Linked DNA regions of Saccharomyces cerevisiae S288C. Changing the gene in region 1 together with any one later gene gives a genetic interaction. Each region holds a gene or a part of one and is shown in the gene's direction. Other genes may lie near its edges. The genes, in order: GDH2, FUI1, IRC20 and MTC1.

Evidence for each region.
Region 2: mutations in GDH2 (region 1) and FUI1 together harm fitness more than expected from each alone (negative genetic interaction), as found in Saccharomyces cerevisiae (2 studies listed by BioGRID).
Region 3: mutations in GDH2 (region 1) and IRC20 together harm fitness more than expected from each alone (negative genetic interaction), as found in Saccharomyces cerevisiae (2 studies listed by BioGRID).
Region 4: mutations in GDH2 (region 1) and MTC1 together harm fitness more than expected from each alone (negative genetic interaction), as found in Saccharomyces cerevisiae (2 studies listed by BioGRID).

Annotation. Positions count from the first base shown.
Region 1 is NC_001136.10:69,352-75,900, reverse strand, and holds GDH2 (glutamate dehydrogenase (NAD(+))), read left to right. Parts: upstream 1-1,982; coding exon 1,983-5,261; downstream 5,262-6,549. Other genes in the region: serine/threonine protein kinase PRR2, read left to right, coding at 1-1,455; COP9 signalosome catalytic subunit RRI1, read left to right, coding at 5,582-6,549. UniProt on the Saccharomyces cerevisiae protein: NAD(+)-dependent glutamate dehydrogenase which degrades glutamate to ammonia and alpha-ketoglutarate.
Region 2 is NC_001134.8:137,490-142,896, reverse strand, and holds FUI1 (uridine permease), read left to right. Parts: upstream 1-2,636; coding exon 2,637-4,556; downstream 4,557-5,407. Other genes in the region: ERD2 (Erd2p), read left to right, coding at 29-50, 148-785; PRE7 (proteasome core particle subunit beta 6), read right to left, coding at 925-1,650. UniProt on the Saccharomyces cerevisiae protein: High-affinity transport of uridine.
Region 3 is NC_001144.5:627,734-636,003, reverse strand, and holds IRC20 (E3 ubiquitin-protein ligase IRC20), read left to right. Parts: upstream 1-2,649; coding exon 2,650-7,320; downstream 7,321-8,270. Other genes in the region: serine/threonine protein kinase RCK2, read right to left, coding at 1-1,752; palmitoyltransferase ERF2, read right to left, coding at 7,807-8,270. UniProt on the Saccharomyces cerevisiae protein: Is probably involved in a pathway contributing to genomic integrity.
Region 4 is NC_001142.9:186,753-191,742, reverse strand, and holds MTC1 (DUF5427 domain-containing protein MTC1), read left to right. Parts: upstream 1-2,302; coding exon 2,303-3,739; downstream 3,740-4,990. Other genes in the region: YJL118W (uncharacterized protein), read right to left, coding at 1-104; ribulose-phosphate 3-epimerase RPE1, read left to right, coding at 653-1,369; ALB1 (Alb1p), read right to left, coding at 1,500-2,027; LSM1 (Lsm1p), read left to right, coding at 4,099-4,617. UniProt on the Saccharomyces cerevisiae protein: Involved in telomere capping.

The DNA of each region.
Region 1 (6,549 bases):
TATAATGTTTATGAGGAAGAGAGGATGTTCACTACTCGTGTATATTCTCTAGAAGATTCGGTCTCTTCACTGTCCACGAATCCTCTCGACGACACGTATTCAGAAGCAGTGCAAGTAAATACAAGACATATCGAGGACACTGAAAGCACGGCCCATATAAGAAAACACTCCTATACTACGTCATTGTCAAGTATCAAAAGGCTCTTCAAAATAACGTCTTTTAGCAATAACAACAGTAACTCATGCGATCACCAGGAAAGCACAGTTGCAGATGATTGCGCTATATCATCATCATTGAAGGAAACAACTTCTTCGCCAGTCTCAACTGGATCATTCTCTCTCATGATCGAGAATGAAGACAGCGATAGAGATCAGATTATTCAGGCTTTATATAGTAATATTGAAGCATCCACTGACTTGGTTTCCAGGAAATATAGAGATCTCGACGTTGTTCTCGGCGAAGGTTCTGGTGGTAAAGTGAAACTGGTCCAAAGGGTCCTGGATAATAAAGTTTTTGCATTAAAGGAATACAGGTCAAAGAAAAAAAGGGAATCTGAGAGAAAATACATCAAGAACATAATTTCTGAATATTGTATTGCCTCCACATTGAAGAACCCAAATATTTGTGAAACATTGGAAATACTGTATGAGAAAGGTAAAATTTTCCAAATTCTCGAGTATTGCGAATATGATTTATTTTCTTTGGTTATGAGTGAAAAGATGCATTACGAGGAAATATGCTGTCTTTTTAAACAGCTGATCAACGGCGTAAAATATTTGCACGACATCGGTCTCTCTCATCGTGATTTGAAGCTAGACAACTGCGTTGTAACACGAAGGGGAATCTTGAAATTGATTGATTTTGGCGCTTCCAGTGTCTTCCACTATCCATTGTCTTCACAGATGATTGAAGCAAATGGAATTGTTGGTAGCGACCCCTACTTGTCACCCGAAGTCTTTTATTTCAATGAGTACGATCCAAGAGCACTTGACGTTTGGTCCGTGGGGATAATATTCTTTTGTATGATAACGAGAAGATTTCCTTGGAAATATCCCAAAGTGAAAGATGTTCAATTCAAGGCATTTTGTTCCGGAAGAGGTGTGTCATCTTTTAAAGATCTTGTGACACGGCCTGCTACCGATGACAGCAATAATTATGATAATGATGGCTACGAAGAAGGAGTCATTGATATGGGTCCCAATTTCATTCTGCACAGACTACCAGAAGAAACTCACAAAATAATGAGGCGTATACTGGAAGTTTCACCTTTCAGAAGAATTACCATAAACGGAATATTACAAGATGGCTGGATCAAAGAAATAGAAACGTGTCAAGTTGTGGGCGCGGCAAGCCCAAATGAGGCATCGCTTCGAATAATAAACAAAGGTAATCACATACATACAAACATCGATCAACGATACGCCCACATTGGCGGCCTGCATCAGCGAACGTAACTGGAAGAATAGCAATGTCATACTGGCCATATGCTCCAGCTTTTACTTACGCAAGTAATACTTACAGCACTGTAACCATAGGTACATATACGTGAAAATACGACTATATCTAATCTAATCTGTCATTTATTTATTTATTTACCGTCGGAAAACCAAGTCCGCTTGAAAAGGGTTACCCATCTGGCGGCTATGTGTGCGGCGATTCCGCAGGACCGAATTTAATACTGCCTGACGGCGTGCCACAACAAGGAGCAATTGGGGTAAAAATACACATTAATAGTTGAGTAGGACAAGTAACTACGAGTCAACGGCGGCATCAATAACAATAACAAAAGTTATACTGTCGACATCAACACTGACAAGCGTTTACTCATTGCTGCTGTTTAGTCAGAATTCTTGTTATATAAGAACAACCGGTTTCTAAAAAATACATTACCTTTTGGTATAATCCTTTTTGTGATTGTCACGATCTCAACAAAACATACAAAACAAGGATATTAAATTCACAACAATAAAAAGAATAAAGAATGCTTTTTGATAACAAAAATCGCGGTGCTTTAAACTCACTGAACACACCAGATATTGCTTCTTTATCAATATCATCCATGTCGGACTATCACGTGTTTGATTTTCCCGGTAAGGACCTGCAGAGAGAGGAAGTGATAGATTTGCTAGATCAGCAAGGGTTTATTCCCGACGATTTGATCGAACAAGAAGTAGATTGGTTTTATAACTCATTGGGTATTGACGATTTGTTCTTCTCGAGAGAATCTCCCCAATTAATCTCGAATATCATACATTCTTTGTATGCTTCAAAGCTAGATTTCTTTGCGAAGTCCAAATTCAACGGAATTCAGCCAAGGCTATTCAGCATTAAAAACAAAATTATAACTAATGATAATCATGCCATCTTTATGGAATCTAATACTGGTGTCAGCATAAGCGATTCTCAGCAAAAAAACTTTAAATTTGCTAGTGACGCCGTCGGAAACGATACTTTGGAGCATGGTAAGGATACCATCAAAAAAAATAGGATTGAAATGGATGATTCTTGTCCACCTTATGAATTAGATTCCGAAATTGATGACCTTTTCCTGGATAACAAGTCTCAAAAAAACTGCAGATTAGTTTCTTTTTGGGCTCCAGAAAGCGAATTAAAGCTAACTTTTGTTTATGAGAGTGTTTACCCTAATGATGATCCAGCCGGCGTAGATATTTCCTCTCAGGATTTGCTGAAAGGTGATATTGAATCGATTAGTGATAAGACCATGTACAAAGTTTCGTCGAACGAAAATAAAAAACTATACGGTCTCTTACTTAAGTTGGTTAAAGAAAGAGAAGGTCCTGTCATTAAGACTACTCGCTCCGTAGAAAATAAGGATGAAATTAGGTTATTAGTCGCTTACAAGCGATTCACCACTAAGCGTTATTACTCTGCTTTGAACTCTTTGTTCCACTATTACAAGTTGAAACCTTCTAAGTTCTATTTAGAGTCGTTTAATGTTAAGGATGATGACATCATTATCTTTTCCGTTTATTTGAACGAGAACCAGCAATTGGAAGATGTTCTACTTCACGATGTGGAGGCAGCATTGAAACAGGTTGAAAGAGAAGCTTCATTGCTATACGCTATCCCAAACAATTCTTTCCATGAGGTTTACCAGAGACGTCAATTCTCGCCCAAAGAAGCTATATATGCTCATATTGGTGCTATATTCATTAACCATTTTGTTAATCGTTTAGGCTCTGATTATCAAAACCTTTTATCTCAAATCACCATTAAGCGTAATGATACTACTCTTTTGGAGATTGTAGAAAACCTAAAAAGAAAGTTAAGAAATGAAACCTTAACTCAGCAAACTATTATCAACATCATGTCGAAGCATTACACTATAATTTCCAAGTTGTATAAAAATTTTGCTCAAATTCACTATTATCATAATAGTACTAAAGATATGGAGAAGACATTATCTTTTCAAAGACTGGAAAAAGTGGAGCCTTTTAAGAATGACCAAGAGTTCGAAGCTTACTTGAATAAATTCATTCCAAATGATTCACCTGATTTGTTGATCCTGAAAACACTGAACATCTTCAACAAGTCTATTTTGAAGACAAATTTCTTTATTACAAGAAAAGTAGCAATATCATTCAGATTAGATCCTTCCCTGGTGATGACAAAATTCGAATATCCAGAGACACCCTATGGTATATTTTTTGTCGTTGGTAATACTTTCAAAGGGTTCCATATCAGGTTCAGAGATATCGCAAGGGGCGGTATTCGTATAGTCTGTTCCAGGAATCAGGATATTTATGATTTGAATTCCAAGAACGTTATTGATGAGAACTATCAATTGGCCTCTACTCAGCAACGTAAAAATAAGGATATTCCAGAGGGTGGCTCTAAAGGTGTCATCTTATTGAACCCAGGATTGGTAGAACATGACCAGACATTTGTCGCCTTTTCCCAATATGTGGATGCAATGATTGACATTCTAATCAACGATCCATTAAAGGAAAACTATGTCAACCTTTTACCAAAGGAGGAAATATTATTTTTTGGCCCAGATGAAGGAACTGCTGGTTTCGTGGATTGGGCAACTAACCATGCTCGTGTGAGGAACTGCCCATGGTGGAAATCATTTTTGACTGGAAAATCCCCATCTTTGGGTGGTATTCCCCATGACGAATATGGTATGACTTCTCTGGGTGTTCGTGCTTATGTTAATAAAATTTACGAAACTTTAAACTTGACAAATTCTACTGTTTACAAATTCCAAACTGGTGGTCCGGATGGTGATTTGGGATCCAATGAAATTCTTTTATCTTCGCCAAACGAATGTTATTTGGCAATTCTGGACGGTTCAGGTGTCCTGTGTGATCCTAAAGGTTTAGATAAAGATGAATTATGCCGCTTGGCACATGAAAGGAAAATGATTTCCGATTTCGACACTTCCAAATTATCAAACAACGGATTTTTTGTTTCTGTGGATGCAATGGATATCATGCTACCAAATGGTACAATTGTAGCTAACGGCACAACCTTCAGAAACACCTTTCATACTCAAATTTTCAAATTTGTGGATCATGTCGACATTTTTGTTCCATGCGGTGGTAGACCAAACTCAATTACTCTAAATAATCTACATTATTTTGTTGACGAAAAGACTGGGAAATGTAAAATTCCATATATTGTGGAGGGTGCCAATCTATTTATAACGCAACCTGCTAAAAATGCTTTGGAGGAACATGGCTGTATTCTGTTCAAAGATGCTTCTGCAAACAAAGGTGGTGTCACATCTTCATCAATGGAAGTGTTGGCCTCACTAGCGCTTAACGATAACGACTTCGTGCACAAATTTATTGGAGATGTTAGTGGTGAGAGGTCTGCGTTGTACAAGTCGTACGTTGTAGAAGTGCAGTCAAGAATTCAGAAAAATGCTGAATTAGAGTTTGGTCAGTTATGGAATTTGAATCAACTAAATGGAACCCACATTTCAGAAATTTCAAACCAATTGTCCTTCACTATAAACAAATTGAACGACGATCTAGTTGCTTCTCAAGAGTTGTGGCTCAATGATCTAAAATTAAGAAACTACCTATTGTTGGATAAAATAATTCCAAAAATTCTGATTGATGTTGCTGGGCCTCAGTCCGTATTGGAAAACATTCCAGAGAGCTATTTGAAAGTTCTTCTGTCGAGTTACTTATCAAGCACTTTTGTTTACCAGAACGGTATCGATGTTAACATTGGAAAATTCTTGGAATTTATTGGTGGGTTAAAAAGAGAAGCGGAGGCAAGTGCTTGAGCTTCAATAAAATTGTTTTGTATAAATTAGTTCTGCCGTCAGAAAAGAAAATTAAACATATGTGTATGTTCTTCTCAGCGTTTTATTGTGTACTAAGTAAAGTTGTTTATATGTCCATTATTTTTAATCTAAAAAAAGCATTTGATATTTTTTCCTTCGAGTTATCCATTATACTAGGCAGTTCTCCTCAGGGAGCCATGCTTCAGCTGAAACTTTAGGAAAGGCGCGCTACGCAGGAAGCGCTCTTATTAAAGGGTTTTTCAAATAAACTAAAAATGAATAACAACGATCGAAAATCAATAAAAACTGCAGGAGGCAGCATGTCACTTTCAAATAAGACTGTAAAGGAATTACGACAACTACTAAAGGAAAGGTACACCGTGGAAGATGAACTAACTGAATCTATAGCGCTATCAAGTATGCGATTCAAGCCGTCGCAAGAACCTGAATTTCATGCGCTAAGCCAATCTTCCTTGCTCAAAACTAAACTAAAACAACAAAGTAGTACAGATATTCCGAGTTACACCCACGTACTTATATCAAAATTATCATGTGAAAAGATCACCCATTATGCAGTTCGTGGAGGAAATATTGAAATCATGGGCATATTAATGGGGTTCACATTAAAAGATAATATTGTTGTAATGGATTGTTTCAATCTTCCCGTAGTAGGGACAGAAACTCGCGTAAATGCACAATTGGAGTCATACGAATATATGGTTCAATATATCGACGAGATGTATAATCATAATGACGGTGGTGATGGGCGAGATTACAAGGGCGCTAAACTGAATGTTGTTGGCTGGTTCCATTCACATCCTGGTTACGACTGTTGGTTAAGTAATATAGATATCCAAACCCAGGATTTGAACCAGAGATTCCAAGATCCATATGTCGCAATTGTGGTCGATCCCTTGAAAAGTCTGGAAGATAAAATTTTAAGAATGGGTGCATTTAGGACAATAGAAAGTAAAAGTGATGATAATAGTGCCACTTCATACTATGAACTAGAAACAATCATATTTGATTCAGAATTGAACCGAGCGCTATTTGAAACAAAGTTAAACTTACATTGCGTAATAGAGGATGATGAGTCAGAACAAATATCATTAAATAGATTGATCGATTCAATGAAGCAGTATAGCTATTTGATGGATTCCAAAAATGTTAGAACAAGGATTAAGTTGGCTACTACCAGTGAACGTGTTAGCAACGAAAATAAAAAAAACATTGACTATCAAAACCGTTCAACAAGGTCTCAGTTCTGCCTCAATACGCAAAGGGGGGA
Region 2 (5,407 bases), on another chromosome or scaffold:
GCGCAAGTTGAGGCATAATCAGTAAGCAATGAATCCGTTTAGAATCTTAGGTATGTTACTATTTGGAGTTTCATGAGGCTTTTCCCGCCGTAGATCGAACCCAATCTTACTAACAGAGAAAGGGCTTTTTCCCGACCATCAAGACAGGTGATTTATCACATCTAACCAGTATACTGATCCTGATTCATAATATCAAGACCACAAGGTACATTGAAGGTATTTCTTTCAAGACCCAAACGTTGTACGCTTTGGTTTTCATAACACGATACTTGGATCTCTTGACTTTTCACTGGGTATCCCTATACAATGCTCTAATGAAAATATTTTTCATTGTATCTACCGCTTACATTGTAGTGCTATTACAAGGGTCTAAAAGAACCAACACCATTGCGTATAATGAAATGCTTATGCATGATACCTTTAAGATCCAGCATTTACTAATTGGGAGTGCTCTAATGAGTGTTTTTTTCCATCACAAGTTCACTTTTCTTGAATTAGCATGGAGTTTTTCTGTATGGTTGGAGAGTGTGGCTATTCTACCTCAATTGTACATGCTATCTAAGGGTGGGAAGACTAGAAGTCTAACTGTTCATTATATTTTTGCCATGGGATTATACAGAGCATTGTATATTCCTAACTGGATTTGGAGGTACAGCACGGAAGATAAAAAATTGGACAAGATTGCCTTCTTCGCGGGACTTTTGCAAACTCTGTTGTACTCTGATTTCTTTTACATTTACTACACTAAAGTCATCAGAGGAAAGGGTTTCAAACTGCCAAAATAAAAAAAAAACCTGTTTTAAATAGTGTTCGCAGCAATATATACAAATTTCAATATATCAATGCTATACCAAAAGAAAAAAAAAATACATAAAATTGATGTTGATATTGGTCTATTTCTTTTTATACTATGATATGTATGCATTAATCTCTTTTTAGCTCATAAAATTCTTTCCTTACACCATCCTTGGTGACAATAAGGATTTCCAGCCCATCACCCACTTGTATATGTCTTTCTGTAGCAGAAGTGAACGAGTCTCTCACCAGTTTGATGACTTCTTCCACGGACAAGTATTTCAAAGGCTTTTTGACTTTACCGTTTGTACCTGGCTCATATTGATTTTTGAAATTAACCTGATTGTCCAAAAATGGCATGATCAATGATGCCGCAGCACCACCTGCTCTACACTGTTCTCTTTCGTAGGAGCCAACTGGGTCGAACGAATAGACAGCGCCCTTACCATCTTCGTCAAGACCCGCAATGATCGTATGAACGTAGTAAGGGAAAAACCTCTTCCCGTACAGAAGATGTTGAATGTTCCTTGCTGCAGAGTTTATAGATAGTTTTTTGTCGTTGTGGTCGAAATGGTACCATTTTACACTATTTTTGAATCTTTTTACTAAAGCGTCGCCGTCTGCTGCAAATCCATTCGCCGACATGACTATGTTATCACCACAATCAAAAACCTTGGGTTCATAACGAGAATTAATTGAGTAATCGGTGATATTTCTTGTATCGCCTGCTAACACTGCGAAATCTTCACCTGCAATGCCCAGGATTGTACCACCATTATCACCGTAAGGATTGAATTGATGTTCAATGGGTGTATTTGACGCCTCCGAAGAGTATTCTGATGCAATAGTGGCCATATTTTGTTTAACTTTATAGTTCAATAGTCTTGGCTACTCTCTTTCCAACTCAGTTCACCTTGTATTATACCGCTTGTTTTTGCCACCCTTTGAGTTTCCTCGATCCTTTAAGTTGGAAAAGATAAAAACAATTATCGCTCCGTACGAACACCAAATCTCTGCGACGCAGAGACGGCAATACAAAATCAGAAAAAAAAAACAATTTATTGCCTATGCTTCACTAGTCACAGGCTCTACGAAACATTGCTATCGCCTCACTGCCTTTACATCACTTAAGCAAGAAGTTTTAAATATTACGGCAATTCCTTTGCAGCAATACCTTTACTTTATTTCGAGAGAAAATAGATCGTAAAATGCCTACTCCAAGCTTTTAAATCAAGACTCAACCAAGCCCCCACACTTATCTTTAGAGACTAATGCCCTAACTCTTTCGACTGAACGGCTTAGAAGTCTCATGTCCTAGCTAGTTTGTCCTTGCGATGGGACACAAACGGCGCTGCCTCTCCTGCGGGCGATCAGAAAGAAGAAAAAGAAATGTGATTGAGCCATGCCACAAAGCGGTATGTGCCATTAATTTCTTTTTTTCTCCCCTTTCGCCTTTGAGTTTCTCCGCGGCGTTCACTGTGGTTGATGCTCGGGATTTGCCGGTTTCGTCCTTATCGCGCCATCTTTGCCATTAAAGGATGCTGCAATAAAACTTGGCGGTTCTCGCTACTGAAACTATTGTGTCAGCCTGGACAACACAGGGACATGTCGTATTTTTGAAAATTTTTGATCAATTCTCCAACGGAAAAGTTTTTCATTTCCTCTCTTGCTCAATTACTCGATGACATGCTATCCTATCTTTTATATAACAGTAGTATTGCTTCGACCTTCTTGTAAAATTTAAAACATAGTATTGGACAGCTTTGCTTTACTTTGCAGCACATTGCGGAAATAAAAGGCGGTAACTAGTCCTCTCATTCATTAATTCTATATAAGAGAAAATGCCGGTATCTGATTCTGGATTCGATAATTCTTCAAAAACAATGAAGGACGACACTATACCGACGGAGGATTACGAAGAAATCACGAAAGAGTCCGAGATGGGTGATGCGACTAAAATTACTTCTAAGATTGATGCTAATGTCATTGAAAAAAAAGATACCGATTCAGAAAACAATATAACCATTGCTCAGGATGACGAAAAGGTGTCTTGGCTGCAAAGAGTTGTCGAGTTTTTTGAGGTTAAGAATGACTCTACCGATTTGGCCGATCATAAGCCCGAAAATCCAATTAGGACATTTAAAGATTTACAGGAGTCCCTCCGTTCGACGTACTTGTACAACACAGATCTGCGGCCCGTGGAGGCAAAAAGAAGAACGTGGACATGGAAGCAGTACATTTTCTTTTGGATTTCTGGGTCCTTTAACGTCAATACATGGCAAATCTCAGCCACTGGGCTACAGTTAGGGCTTAACTGGTGGCAGACTTGGATCTGTATTTGGGTTGGATACACGTTTGTCGCATTTTTCTTGATACTGGGTTCCAAAGTGGGGAACAATTACCATATCTCTTTCCCCATTTCCTCAAGAGTATCATTTGGTATCTACTTCTCCATCTGGATTGTCATCAACCGTGTCGTCATGGCATGTGTCTGGAATTCTACTTTGGCTTATATCGGTAGTCAATGTGTTCAGTTGATGCTAAAGGCTATCTTCGGTACTAATTTGAATACTAGAATCAAAGACACCATAAAGAACCCCAATTTGACGAACTTCGAGTTCATGTGCTTCATGGTCTTCTGGGTCGCATGTTTACCGTTCCTATGGTTTCCACCTGACAAATTGCGTCATATATTTGCACTCAAATCCGCCATCACTCCATTTGCGGCCTTCGGTTTTTTGATTTGGACTCTTTGTAAGGCCAAAGGTCATTTGGCATTGGGTTCCCTAAATGACAATGGTGGCGCAATCAGCAAGACGGTTTTAGCATGGTCTGTCATTAGAGCTATTATGAGTGCTCTGGATAACTTCTCTACTTTAATCCTAAACGCTCCTGACTTCACTAGATTCGGTAAGACCTACAAGTCATCTGTTTACTCGCAATTGATTGCGCTACCCGTCTGCTATGCCATTATTTCCTTAATCGGAATATTGTCTGTCTCCGCAGCTTATACATTGTACGGAGTAAATTATTGGAGTCCCCTAGACATTCTGAACAGGTACTTGGATAACTATACTTCGGGGAACAGAGCCGGTGTATTCTTAATATCTTTCATTTTTGCGTTTGACCAGCTGGGTGCCAACTTGTCTGGTAACTCGATCCCTGCAGGTACCGATCTGACTGCATTATTGCCTAAATTCATCAATATCAGACGCGGTTCTTATATTTGTGCTCTAATATCGTTGGCGATTTGCCCCTGGGATTTATTATCATCATCGTCAAAGTTTACTACGGCACTAGCGGCATATGCAGTTTTCTTAAGTGCTATTGCGGGTGTAATATCAGCCGATTACTTCATTGTCAGAAAGGGTTACGTTAATATTTTCCATTGCTACACCGACAAGCCAGGATCGTACTACATGTACAATAAATATGGTACGAACTGGAGGGCGGTGGTAGCTTATATATTTGGTATTGCTCCTAATTTTGCAGGCTTTTTAGGTTCAGTGGGAGTTTCTGTGCCTATTGGCGCTATGAAAGTTTACTACCTAAACTATTTCGTTGGTTATCTCCTTGCAGCATTGAGTTACTGCATTTTAGTGTATTTTTACCCAATTAAGGGTATTCCAGGCGATGCCAAGATAACTGACCGTAAATGGCTCGAAGAGTGGGTCGAAGTAGAAGAATTCGGAACTGAAAGAGAAGCTTTTGAAGAATATGGCGGCGTTTCCACTGGCTATGAAAAGATACGATATATCTAAACACAATTGTTAACAACGCAAGTAGCACCTTATCATGATAATGTCAAAGCCAAAAAAAAAAAAAAATAATTTACTTATAATCTGCATAGGCCTCATCATATTTGTTGCATACATATAGACATATGCTTCTGCATAATCTCAAATTGTAACCTTTATTTTGTAAAAATAACATTACGCATGCTTGATTAGTTAAAAAAAGTCTTGTTTACCATAGGTCTTCAGTCTCGCACTCCTAATTTAAGCGAGTACGAGCAGCCTGGCCTAACTCATTTCTGTTTTCAAAAAATCCTTCTCACTGCAACGAAATAGCATTTCGTAAAAAAAAAAAAGAAGGTTTGGTTCTCAAGAGAGCTCACGCAAAATTTTTTCTTACGTTCCCGTAGAACTGATACTTGGACAACGCCACTTATCTGAGCAGAACAGGTCTTACCTTAGTCTCTGTAGTCTTATTTTACGTTTGAATTCGTAGTTTTATTGCGCAAAGTACCATATTAAAACTTTACTTTTCGCCTATGCAATAATCTTGTACATATTGAGTTATCGTGGTAAAATAAAAAACCTGTGCCGAACGCCGTTTTGGAGCATGGTATAGAGTTGAAAATGACTAATAAAAGGAACCGTTAATTTACCCATATACTGGGCGAAAACAAAAGGTTCTTTTTTTTTTTTTTTTTTTTTTTTATTTTATTTTATTTTAAACTAAAAACTTTATTTTGAACGTTATGAAGTAAGAATATATATATTTTGCGTTTGGTATTTAGACAAGTGGTGATGCACTAGTTAGTAATAATGATACAACAACAATGAGAAAAAAAAAATAGGATGCAGATGTGAATATGATAATGCAAAAC
Region 3 (8,270 bases), on another chromosome or scaffold:
GGACGTATCCAGCGTTAATTGGAACATATTTTGTTCCAGCTGTTCATCGCCTTGGGCGCCACTGTAACTATCTTCCAATTCTTCGTCCTCAGCAAGCGAGCCTAATCCTCCACGTGTTCCCATACGGTCTTCTTCGGTACGTTTCACAGCATTACCAATATCAAAGGCGTCACGCATAGCAACAGCAGCTGGTGAAAACAGTAGCGAGGAGTCTCTTTGAAATAGTTGGAATTGTTTCTTATGCGGATGGCGTCTTTCGGAAGTACCTGCTTTCTTTTGTGAAGATTCGCCCTCCTTTGGTAAACAATCGAATGTATTTAACCATGGGTCGTCCAAAAACTGGTCAATGTCGTATCTTTTAGACGGCTCTAGTTCTAATAGCTTAGCCACGGCATTCTTGGCACCGGCGCTGATTTCATCCCACCAAGGTTTCAGAAAGGTATACTCACCCCTTGATATTTTTTCAGTTAAAGTGTCAATTTTCTCATCATAGAATGGCGGGAACCCACATAACATTGTGTACAAAACGCAACCAATCCCCCACATATCCACTTTCATAGAATAATGCTCATCTTTGACAACTTCAGGGGCAGTGTAACCGACTGTACCACAAGGAGTCTTGGTGTTCTTGGAAAATATTTGTTTAGACAAACCAAAATCAGCTAGTTTTACTATACCAATTCCACCACCACCAACTCCTGGTGTGAAAATTCCCTCGTCTGCCTTTGTTTGCGGATCATCCGATTTCCTCAATTTTGGTTTTATAGAGCGTGTGAATTCAATCGGTTCAAAAAGAAGATTCTCAGGTTTTATATCACGATGCACTACACCTAGTGAATGCATATGTTTAACAGCCAGTGCTAATTGTTTGATTACATGCCTTGATAAATCTTCACTGAAATAGGTCAACCTAACAATTTCGCCGAAGATTTCCCCACCGGTTAGTAACTCTTGAATAATATAATAATAGCTATCTGTTTCTTGGAAGTCTATGAACGCGACAATTTGTGAACAACCAGCGGAAACCGTCTTATGTAGTGCAACTTCCTTCAAGACTTGATCTCTGGAAGAAGTTTTAGTGCTGTCCTTCCCTTTGTCCTTCTTACGATGATCACCATTAATCGAGGATAAATCTGCCTTTTTGATAACTTTAATGGCAACAGCTTTATAGTTTTTAGTTAAAAATTCATTAGAACTATTTTTAGCAGGTATGGCTCTAAAGACTTTTGAAAAAGCACCTTCACCGATTTTATTGATCAGCTTGTAACCTATCAATTCCTTTTGTTCGAGGAAGGATTTTTCCGGAATTTCATCTTCCATATTGTCATCATCAGTACTGTCATCCTGGATATCACTGATAATCTCGCTTTGTTCCGAAAGAGATTCGTCAGATATTAAGGGGTCGGAACTTAATTGACCTTCACTACTTTCATGGACATCGATAGCTGGCACGGAAGTAACTGTTTCCACATTTTCCGTGGTAATATTATCACTCGGTGAAGAGTCCGAGTCTATCGTGGTTACTAATTCATCGGTTAAAGACTTCATATGATGGTCATCTGCGACAACACTCGGGTACTGAACTATATTTTTGTCCTGAAAGCTTTTCTTAGGGGAAGAAGTAATCTGGGAAACATCTTTGTTATTTGTACCGCTTGACCTGGTCTTACCCTTGAATGGTTTTTTAGATTCCTGAGACAAATCTGCCTGATCCGGTTTCTTTTTCGAGAAAAGGGCCTTTATTTTAAGCATCGAAGAGATTTTGTTTGATCCTCTCTAAATAAGCAGTACTCTTAACAATACTTTCGTCTTTTCCAATCGTTAAATGTTTGTACTTCAAATAACGTATGAACTATCTGGGATTTTATTTTCTTTAATTTTTTCGATGTCACTCTTTTTTTTTCTTTGGCCGATCCGTCTTTTCTAGTAAGCGTTTGTAAAAAGTTAGATGTCAATAGGAGAGATAAAGCCCCAGAGATAGAGTTTGACTTCGTTGAAATAACTGTCGCTGATTACTATTATCTAGGATTCTTGACGAGGTTTCCTCTTAATCACTGGATTTATAATTATAACCTTAAACCTAGCCAGTAAAAAAGTTTAAAAAGAACAAAAAACAATAACAAATAAATGTCCCTTTATCCTCCTTTTTTCTCTTGATTGCTATAAAGTAAAAAGATTACTAGACTTTATGCCAACGTACTCGTGGACGACTAAAACTAACGGTGATTTTTTGGATCGTAGTGGCTCTTTTTCAGCCTTCGTACTTTCAAGAATAAAGGAAATGGCAACTACTAAAAAGAGTGCCTGCGCAACGGATGTTTTATTAGCTTGAAGATGTAGCTGAATAACTCCTGTTTTTAAGTGAGCTCGAAATGACGAACCAGTCAAAGAACAAACTTGACCGCAAATACAGGGACATCCAAGGAGTCTGGGATAGCTTCACTCCTATGAGAGCTCAAGGAATTACCTGCTCGCATCTCTGACCAAGGATAAGGCTCGTTTTTTCCTTTTTCGGAACACTCGAACTGCTACCCGTCTTTTCCAGATCTACAGCTGATGAAATGTGGCTGATGAATGTATTGATTTGCCACTTTCTAGGCGCTGTCTAAAGGAATGAACTCCAGGAAAGGCCAACTTATTCGACGGTAAATGTCTGCAGTAGGTGCGCTATTAGCAAGGGAGTACAACGTGACTGCCGAAAAATGCGACTTTTTCCTAGAAAATGGTTCTTTTGATTCAGTGATAGCAGCATTGCCAGCGCTAAATCAGGAACAAGAGACTGTAACTCAAAAAGTTAGCAAGAACGGAAAAGAATTAATCAACGTTGCCTCGGTAAATATCGAAATACCAGAGCGAATAAGTCTTTCCAACAACGGTAGGCAGTTATTTAAATTTATTGTTGATATAGAGATCTTACCTTGTGAAAATGATAACGAGGCAACACTTGTTGTGTCGTCAGATTCCGTATCCTTATTTCAAATTGGATTTAAAATGGAGAACAATTCAAAAATCGCTGTTGACAAACAACTTCCGCTGATCTTGGATATATGTGCTCATAAAAACCAAGAAAGGGCCCTACGAAATCAGTTAGAAAATCGTAAATCTTTAGAACGCAAACCATCAAGAAAGAGAAGAAAAAAAAATTCAAATGTTAACGATCCTGAAAAATTACTAAAAAGTCGTATACACGAATTATCTTTGTCCTACAAAGATTTTGAATGCTCTCCAGTCGTATTCCGATACAATGATTCCTCTTTAACATGGGTTTTATCTTTTAATTTGAAGTTGAAGTTTTTAAATAATAAATTCAACCGGTTTTCCGTGGAGGCTAACCAAATACTGGACTTGACGTTCTCTAATAGGGACGAGAACGAATTTGAGCGATATCACAAGCACAGCCATATCCATTCAAACTTCATTCAAAAACAATTTATTTCTCAAATCTTGGAATATAGTAAAGATAGGCTATCAAAGATCAAACCGTTCTTACCCCAATCTATACCAGACCTAAAAGTTAACCTCTTACCATTTCAAAGAGAGAGCGTTGAGTGGATGCTAATTAAAGAAGGGCATGGTAATTCTCTTAGTGATACACCTACAGTCATCGACGAAGTAGGGCTTATAGATTTTATGAACGAGTACTATGCATACGGTTACGAGCTCATTGCACGCAGCCCTGACGAGGTAGGGCCATCATTGTTATGGAACAAATTAACAGGATATATTCTAACTACAGAAGATGCTGCACATTTGTACAACCAATATAGGAAGGAAAGGTTAAGCGGCGACTACCCAGTTTGTGCAAAGGGGGTGTTAGCAGAAGAGATGGGGTTGGGCAAAACTATTGAAATTTTATCACTAATACTCTTAAATAGAAGGAAATTGAAGGACTCAGAGGCAACATTTATTGACGATGAAAATAGAACAATCACGAAGACAAAGACGACTTTGATTATCTGTCCCAATGCTATCTTAAAACAATGGCTCGAAGAAATCGAATTACACGCAAATTCCTTAAAATGGTATACCTATAGAGGATATAATGAGATAATGAAAGATTGCAAAACTGTGGACGAAGCTGTTCAACAATTGTGCCAATACGATATTATAGTTACATCATATAACATTATTGCCACGGAGGTCCATCATGCTGAGTTTAACCGTAGTATCAGATCGAGAAGGTTGAAAAGCCCAAAGTATGACTATTCTTCACCGTTAGCTTTGATGCAGTTTTATAGAATCATTCTGGATGAAGTTCAAATGCTACGTAGTTCATCAACATATTCTGCAAAATGCACGAGTTTACTTCATAGAATACACACTTGGGGTGTTTCCGGGACTCCAATACAGAACATTTACAACTTTAGGATGATCATGTCTTATTTAAAGCTGCATCCATTTTGTGATGAGGTAGACTTTATTCGGACACTTCAAGAAGAAATTAAACTAAGAAATGAGGCTAAAGATTACACTAGTAATGATTTTGTATGCCAATTAAAGGGCGTTCGGTTTTCTATCAAGGATTGTATGAACATTTTTTACAGGTATGATCTTTGCATAAGGCATTCGAAAGCCAATGTTGCGTCTCAGATTCATATTCCGCGGCAACACAACTTCATCATTCCCCTGGAGTTTGCGCCTATCGAGTGGGACAACTATTTAAATCTTTGGAACAATTTTTTAGAGTTGAGTGGCTATAATTCGGATGGCAGTGGATCACCCCGTGTAAGCAATGCCTTTTTAAACGAATGGTTGTCTAGGCTGCGATATATATGTTGCCATGCATTATTTCCAGAAATTTTAAGTACCCGACAGAAGCGCCTTCACGGGCACTTGTCAAGAATTTCAAATATAGACGATATCTTAATATCCATGCGAATGGATGCATTTGACAGTTTAATTGGCTATTACAGAGAGAGATTCCATTTATCGATCAAGCAGGCACAGTATGAACTTGAAATTTCCAATACTCCGGCCAAAGCCCTTGAATCATTTATCAAAATCAGAGATGATTTGATGATACACATACGCCAAAAATTCAACGTTGAGGATCCGTTTGATAAGTCGTTAAACCTCAGTGAAGATGAGGACGAACATATGGACGAGAGGTTTGGTGAGAAGGAAACATCTTCAGGCGACGAAAGCGATAGAGAAATAAATGGTGCTAAAAACCATGATAATCACAACAATGACGGAATGTTATCCAACCACCTGAAGAAGAAAGGATTACGTGCTATGATGAATTTACTGCATGATTGCTACTTCTTCCTCGGTTCTGTTTACTATAACTTGGGCACTCGTAAGCTAGAAGAGGCGGACGACAAGCATCGAAAAGAGAAGACTGAAGAAGTGGTGTATTCTGATGTTTTTCCAAAAAATGAGTTAGAGGAAATTGAAGAGAATAGACTTTTAGAACAAGAAAATTATGCGAATGCAGAAATTTTGAGGAAGTCAATCCTCTCCTCTGAGGCTAGAAAAGTTGATATGACTATTAAAATGGCCAGAACTAAGTTTGCTCCTATGACGAGCAATATACCTTTGCGATTAATCAATATTGAATTTGACCACAAAAATGACTACTCATCTAATTTAGCAGTATCTCGTTGTTTCAAGTCTTTGAGTAAGTTGATAGAAGGGTTGAATGAACAAACTAAAAACTTCAACGAGTTATTGGATGAGTTACTCATTATTATCTATGAACCTGTCCACAGGACAGAGGACGATGATAGCACTAATAAAATTATCGGTAATGAAGAATATTCAACATCGATTGACAGTCAAGATAAGATATTCAGTCTTCTTGGTTGCTTGGAGATAATTTTACAGAATAGGGACAATATTTTAACTTCAGAATCAGAAGTTAAAATTCCGAAGCATTTGGTACCGGAAGGTTCAATAATTTCAAAATATCAAAAGCAGTTATTGAACAGCTTGCGCTTGATTTCAGGAACACCTCTACGAACTGTTTTTGATGAACTGAAGAACAGCAGGATAGTAAGACGGATATCCTCAAGCAATGAAAGTGAATCTACCATTCAAAATTTTGAGGACTACTTACTTCAGTACGAAGTTGAAAGTAAAAGCCTGTTTAAGTACAATAAACAGGTAAGAGAATCTTTGAAAATCCTGGGATCGATTTATAATGCCAAGACGGAATATTATAGTCAATTACAGAGGATTTCCGATTCATTGGTGTCCTTGCACTCTTTGAGTGCTCCACAACTCAGCCATCTAATAAGAACTATCAATAAGTCATTGGGCGGTACACTAGATGCAAAAATCAATAACATTGAATCACGGCTGATATATTTAAAAAATTTGTCCAGATTGAAAGACACATTAAACGATAATCAAATATTGAGCTGCTCTATCTGTTTGGGAGAAGTTGAAATAGGTGCTATCATTAAGTGTGGACATTATTTTTGCAAGAGTTGTATCCTTACGTGGCTACGAGCCCATAGTAAATGCCCTATATGCAAAGGTTTCTGTAGTATATCGGAAGTCTATAACTTTAAGTTCAAGAACTCAACGGAGAAGAGGGAAAAAGAAATTCAAGAGCCACGAAGAGAGGGCGCCGATTCGTCTCAAGATAATTCAAATGAAAACTCGATTATATCCAATATGAGTGAAGTAGAAAAATTATTCGGAAATAAATACGAGCAATTCCATCAAATTAATGAAGTCCATCAAATTCACATAAAGGAAAGTTTTGGTGCTAAGATTGATTTCGTCATCAAGTTAATATCTTACCTGAGGCTAAAAAGTGAGCAGGAAAACGCTGATCCGCCACAAGTTATTCTATACTCTCAAAAGACAGAATATTTAAAGGTCATTGGTAAGGTATTAAAGTTGTATCACATTGAACACTTGGCATGTCTATCTAATACAGCCAATGTTGGCGAAACTATAAATAACTTCAAACGCCAGCCTTCCGTCACTTGCCTACTTTTGAATGTGAAAACTTTAGGTGCCGGCCTGAATTTGATAAATGCAAAACATATTTTCCTACTAGATCCTATCCTTAATAATAGTGATGAATTACAAGCTATGGGAAGGAATAATCGTATAGGACAAGATGAAGAAACTTTTGTGTGGAATTTCATGATCAGAAATACCGTTGAAGAAAACATCCTCAGATATAAATGTATACTCGAAGAGCGCAAAAGAAAGGAGAAGTCAAAAAAAGGCGATAAATACGACGAAGCACAAGATGAAACGGATAATGAGGAAAGCGATGATGCGAAGTTTGAGATAAGCGTGGTAGACCAAGAAGTCAGTAATGAACACTTATGGAACTGCTTTTTTCACGGTAGTGATTAGAGAAGTATGACTTTTAAACCAGACACTAATATATTAAAATATTTAATCTTTTGAATTTTTATATAAACGGTTGCCGTAATTACTATATATATATTCAATGGTAGGAAAAAAAGATGCTGCACGTTGTCTGACATCTGAAGAAGAGTGCTAATATGTAGCTTCAAAATTTTCGGAAGGCAAAAATAATGGTTGCTAAGAGATTCGAACTCTTGCATCTTACGATACCTGAGTATTCCTACAGTTAACTGCAGTCAAGATATTTTCTTGAATCAGGCGCCTTAGACCGCTCGGCCAAACAACCACTTATTTGTTGTAAAAGTTATACGAAAAGAACCTTTTAATGAATGTTTTTTTTAACATTCTAGCCAATTTCCAACGTTTATTTGCGTATACTCAACCTATACTATGGCGGAATTCACTCCTTTCAGTAACCTTTTTATATTTTACGTACTACTGTGTCGCTGAGTTCTTTATATCTATACTTCCTTATATTTTCTGTATTTTTTCAAAGCTGTGTGCTGGCGATAAATCCATAAATCTCCAATCTCCAGCTTCATGTGGCTTTCTGGCACTTACAAAGCTTGGGCCCCTTGGTTCTAACATCAAGTGACCCATATTTTTCAAAAAGGACCCCTTATTATATATGTTTTCCTCCTTGACCACACGATGGAATACAGGGTTTTTTTTCGATCCAATACCTTTCAAAAATTCCCTTGTTGTTTGCTGATTACCTGCCATAAATATGTGATAAGTAAACAGTATTGCCGGATACCATAAGGTTAGCCCTGCATAGCAAAGTAACAATATTGCAACGGGACAATCGCGAGGCCCCCCTGATTCCCGTGCAATATGGATGGCACAATTAGTTAATAATATGACGGACGAAAGTATTGCACCTAACAGGAATATTAAAAAGAACCGGTAGTTCCTTTTTCCTATGCAATTATTGA
Region 4 (4,990 bases), on another chromosome or scaffold:
GATGATTCAATCATACAATTTACGACATTTAACCAAAGTTGCACTCTGATGGGCTCAACGACTGCTACTCGTGCCAATAATGAAACTGAAAAGCATGAAGCCATCACTGTTTTTTTCGTGGTCTTTCTATATATAAACAAAGCCTCTGTAAAGTTTTTTTTTTTCGCATAACAAACGCGCTTATCTGAGACATAACAACAGCCAACGACCGATGCCTGCGTGGAATAAACAATAATACGCTGCAGAGGATAAAAAGAGAGGTATCATGTCTATTTATTCTCTGCTTTTCTAATCAAATGTGTATTGTATGCTGAACCATGCCGGTTGGTTGCTTCTTCCGGTAATTGCATTCAAGTCCTGCAACTTTAAATGTCCTCTTATAAAGCAGGACGTGGCTTCAGAAACAAAAAATGTGTCGCCAAGAGAAAACAAGAACAGCTATCCAAGTCGAGCTGGGAAAGTAATCAGATTTTTGTATATGTATAGGTACTTTCTTGATCCGTAAGCTGGAACTTCTTTCATGATCTCTGTTATAGGAAAGCCAGAATAGAAAGAATCCGCCCGTAAAAAGAAAAATAAAGCAAACTCGATACAATTTCATGCAAGAAGGCCATTTGCTAATTCCAAGAGCGAGGTAAACACACAAGAAAAAATGGTCAAACCAATTATAGCTCCCAGTATCCTTGCTTCTGACTTCGCCAACTTGGGTTGCGAATGTCATAAGGTCATCAACGCCGGCGCAGATTGGTTACATATCGATGTCATGGACGGCCATTTTGTTCCAAACATTACTCTGGGCCAACCAATTGTTACCTCCCTACGTCGTTCTGTGCCACGCCCTGGCGATGCTAGCAACACAGAAAAGAAGCCCACTGCGTTCTTCGATTGTCACATGATGGTTGAAAATCCTGAAAAATGGGTCGACGATTTTGCTAAATGTGGTGCTGACCAATTTACGTTCCACTACGAGGCCACACAAGACCCTTTGCATTTAGTTAAGTTGATTAAGTCTAAGGGCATCAAAGCTGCATGCGCCATCAAACCTGGTACTTCTGTTGACGTTTTATTTGAACTAGCTCCTCATTTGGATATGGCTCTTGTTATGACTGTGGAACCTGGGTTTGGAGGCCAAAAATTCATGGAAGACATGATGCCAAAAGTGGAAACTTTGAGAGCCAAGTTCCCCCATTTGAATATCCAAGTCGATGGTGGTTTGGGCAAGGAGACCATCCCGAAAGCCGCCAAAGCCGGTGCCAACGTTATTGTCGCTGGTACCAGTGTTTTCACTGCAGCTGACCCGCACGATGTTATCTCCTTCATGAAAGAAGAAGTCTCGAAGGAATTGCGTTCTAGAGATTTGCTAGATTAGTTGTACATATGCGGCATTTCTTATATTTATACTCTCTATACTATACGATATGGTATTTTTTTCTCGTTTTGATCTCCTAATATACATAAACCGAGCCATTCCTACTATACAAGATACGTAAGTGCCTAACTCATGGGAAAAATGGGCCGCCCAGGGTGGTGCCTTGTCCGTTTTCGATGATCAATCCCTGGGATGCAGTATCGTCAATGACACTCCATAAGGCTTCCTTAACCAAAGTCAAAGAACTCTTCTTTTCATTCTCTTTCACTTTCTTACCGCCATCTAGATCAATATCCATTTCGTCTTCTAGCTTAGCGCTTGCGTCAACCAATAATTTTCTCTGTGTAGCATATTTTAAGTTTCTCTCGATTTTCTTAGCTCTCTTTTTGGAAAGTGTCCTCGTGGTGATGGAGGCCGGAGAAGATGAAGCATTTTGTAATGTCACAGCAGTGGAATTCTGACTTTCGTTCTTCTTGTTTTGGAAGTATAGGTCCAACGCTACTGATTTTATTTCCCCAGATTTCGAATTTACGCTGGATCTAGCTGGCTTCAAGAGACCAGCTCTTTCTCTTTGAGCTCTTTTCTTATTTAAAGAGTGCACCTTGTGGTGCAAATTTGAAGTCAGCTTAGGTCTGTTGATGGAGTTTTTAGAAGGCATTATGGGTTGGCTGTGCTAGTCTCTTCGGCAAGCACCTCATCGACTAATGCCGCCATAAGTTATAACCATATATTAATATTGATACTCTCTATGAAAATTTTAGCGAAAAAAAATTTTGCGATGAGATCATTCCAAACGGATTGACGCGTGGAAGAAACCGGCGATTTTCTGGTTTCTGGTTCTTTGATGGAAGTTGGACGAGACGGTGAAGAATAGAACAAGGGACAGGTTAACTAGACTCAATCGATTAAAAACATACATACTACCAGGGCAAAATGTCTGAAAATAAGAACTCTGAGGCTGAAGACGTATTTGAATTTTTAGATTCTTTGCCAGAAGCAAAGAATGGCGGGAAAATGGTTAATACTGACGTAAAGGGTAGCCAAGAAGGCGTTAAGGGAGGTTCTAATTCTGTGGCGGGCAAGACCGGGAATGATGGAAAGAAAGGTGACGATGATATCTTTGAATTCTTAGAAGAGTTGGAGAAGAGTAACTTAAGCTTAACTGACAAGAAAGGGGTTGAAAAGAAGGCTCCCAGTGAATCAGTTAATAATAAAGCACAAGACGAAAAAGTAGAAGAATCAAAAGAAAACAAAAATTCCGAGCAGGACGCTCACGGAAAGGAAAAGGAACCACAGCAGCAGGAGAAAGAAGAAGAAGAGGAGGAAGAAGAAGAAGAAGAAGAGGAGGAGGAGGAGACCCCATTGCATGACCCAATTGCTTCTATTTCAAACTGGTGGTCCTCCTCTGGATCCGCAAAGGTATCGAGTATTTGGAATAAAACTGCAGAACAAGCATCCCAGATCAAAAACCGACTTGCCCAAGAACAGCTTGATTTGACTTCAAAGATAAACACGAGCACGATTACTGAAATAGCCAGAAACTTACAGAAAATCGTTGTTGGTGAGACTGAAGAGGTGCTGCGAATTCATCTAGTCCATGATTTGGTTAACTATCCCTCATTACAATACAATATTGAAAGCAAGTTTGATCAAGTTCTAAGCTCACAAGTTGAGGGAGGAATCAGAATATTTGTAGATGAATGGGGCCATCCTAACAATAATGGAATTACACCTGTGGAAAAAAAGCCTTCAGTTGCAGACGGTGAGTTAGGCAACTCTAAAAAAAAATTACAGTTTAATCTATTCGACGGCAAGGTAACAGACGGTGAGAAACTGGCATTTGCAAACCTGGAAAATGCAGTCAAACTCTTCAATACTGCACATGAGGAATACCAGAAACAACAGAAAGAGGCTGATGCCACTCCAGATGACGATAGGAGTTCTATTAGCAGTAACAGCAATAAAATCAGTGATTTATTCATATCCATCTTACCAATTGCCATTCCGCAAAAACAAAAAGATGCCGACGGTGACTTTCAAGTGACCGACTCCAATACGCCAGGCAATTTCAATTTCACCCTTGTATTGAAAGACATAACTAACGATATTACCACCATAACAAGATCACAAGGATTCCCTGTCAAATGGGTCAATTGGCTAGAAGGATCCGTGGAGAAAACAGGATCAACAGCAAGTGAGGAGAGGAATAAGTCATACGATCAAAAGAAACAAAAAGAAAGTGAAGACGAAGACGAAGACGATGAGATCATTGATCCTAGTGAATGGGTAAAGGAATGGATCGAAGATGGATTAAGCTTGTCATTTGGGGTCATGGCACAGAATTATGTCATTGACCGTATGGGTCTTTGATACACTTAATACATAACATTTATAGCGTAACGATGATGTATAAAGTTACAAGCGCAGAGGAGTGGGTTCAAATTCGGCCGACTTGTTACCCGCGTTCGTTGAATAATGGAAAATATGAAAAAAATAGAGGAAGTCGTGAATATACAACGGTGTTCAGCACCTGTATTTCAATCTAGGGGAAGCCTGTATGACCAAGGGCTGATTAAATATTAGTGAAGATACAAGTAACACAGTTTAGTTATATTTTCTTTTCCTTTTCAACAGGATTGCCAACGCTGCAGTAGAGTTATACCAACATTTGCTCCGCTTTCAAAACCTATAAAAGAAAGCAGCCCTCGAATCGAATTAATTCACCAAAAATGTCTGCAAATAGCAAGGACAGAAATCAGTCCAATCAGGATGCGAAGCGACAACAGCAGAATTTCCCAAAGAAGATTTCAGAAGGTGAGGCCGATTTATATCTCGACCAGTATAACTTCACTACCACCGCTGCTATTGTAAGCTCAGTAGACCGTAAAATCTTCGTTCTTTTGCGTGATGGAAGAATGCTATTCGGTGTACTAAGAACCTTTGACCAATATGCAAATTTGATACTTCAAGATTGCGTGGAGAGAATATATTTTAGCGAAGAAAACAAATACGCTGAAGAAGACCGCGGCATATTCATGATTCGTGGTGAAAATGTTGTCATGTTAGGCGAAGTAGACATCGATAAAGAAGATCAACCCCTTGAGGCCATGGAACGCATACCATTTAAGGAGGCTTGGCTGACCAAGCAAAAAAATGATGAGAAAAGGTTTAAAGAGGAAACCCACAAAGGTAAAAAAATGGCCCGCCATGGTATCGTTTACGATTTCCATAAATCTGACATGTACTAAGAAAGAAAAACACAATACTACCAACATATATCCTGGAGTAAACTCTCAAAAATTTCCACATTCAGTTTTACCTATCCGTACACTTAATCAACTGCCTTTGGAGATGGAACAATAAAAAAAATGCAAGAGAGGAGGCCGTATTTGTATATAAATTAATATATTTAAATGTAAAATATATACAGTACTTGAGTTTTTTTATGAAGTAACGTATTTGCGCAGCATTCTTTTTCCTCTTACACTTCGTTATAACATTAACACTCATGCTATTGATACTTTTTCTTTATTATTATCTATAAAATTTTTTCGCTTTTTGTTTATGCCATGCCGTTAGCAACGAATTTTTTTCCATGCTCATCACTTTTAAAACTGTTTA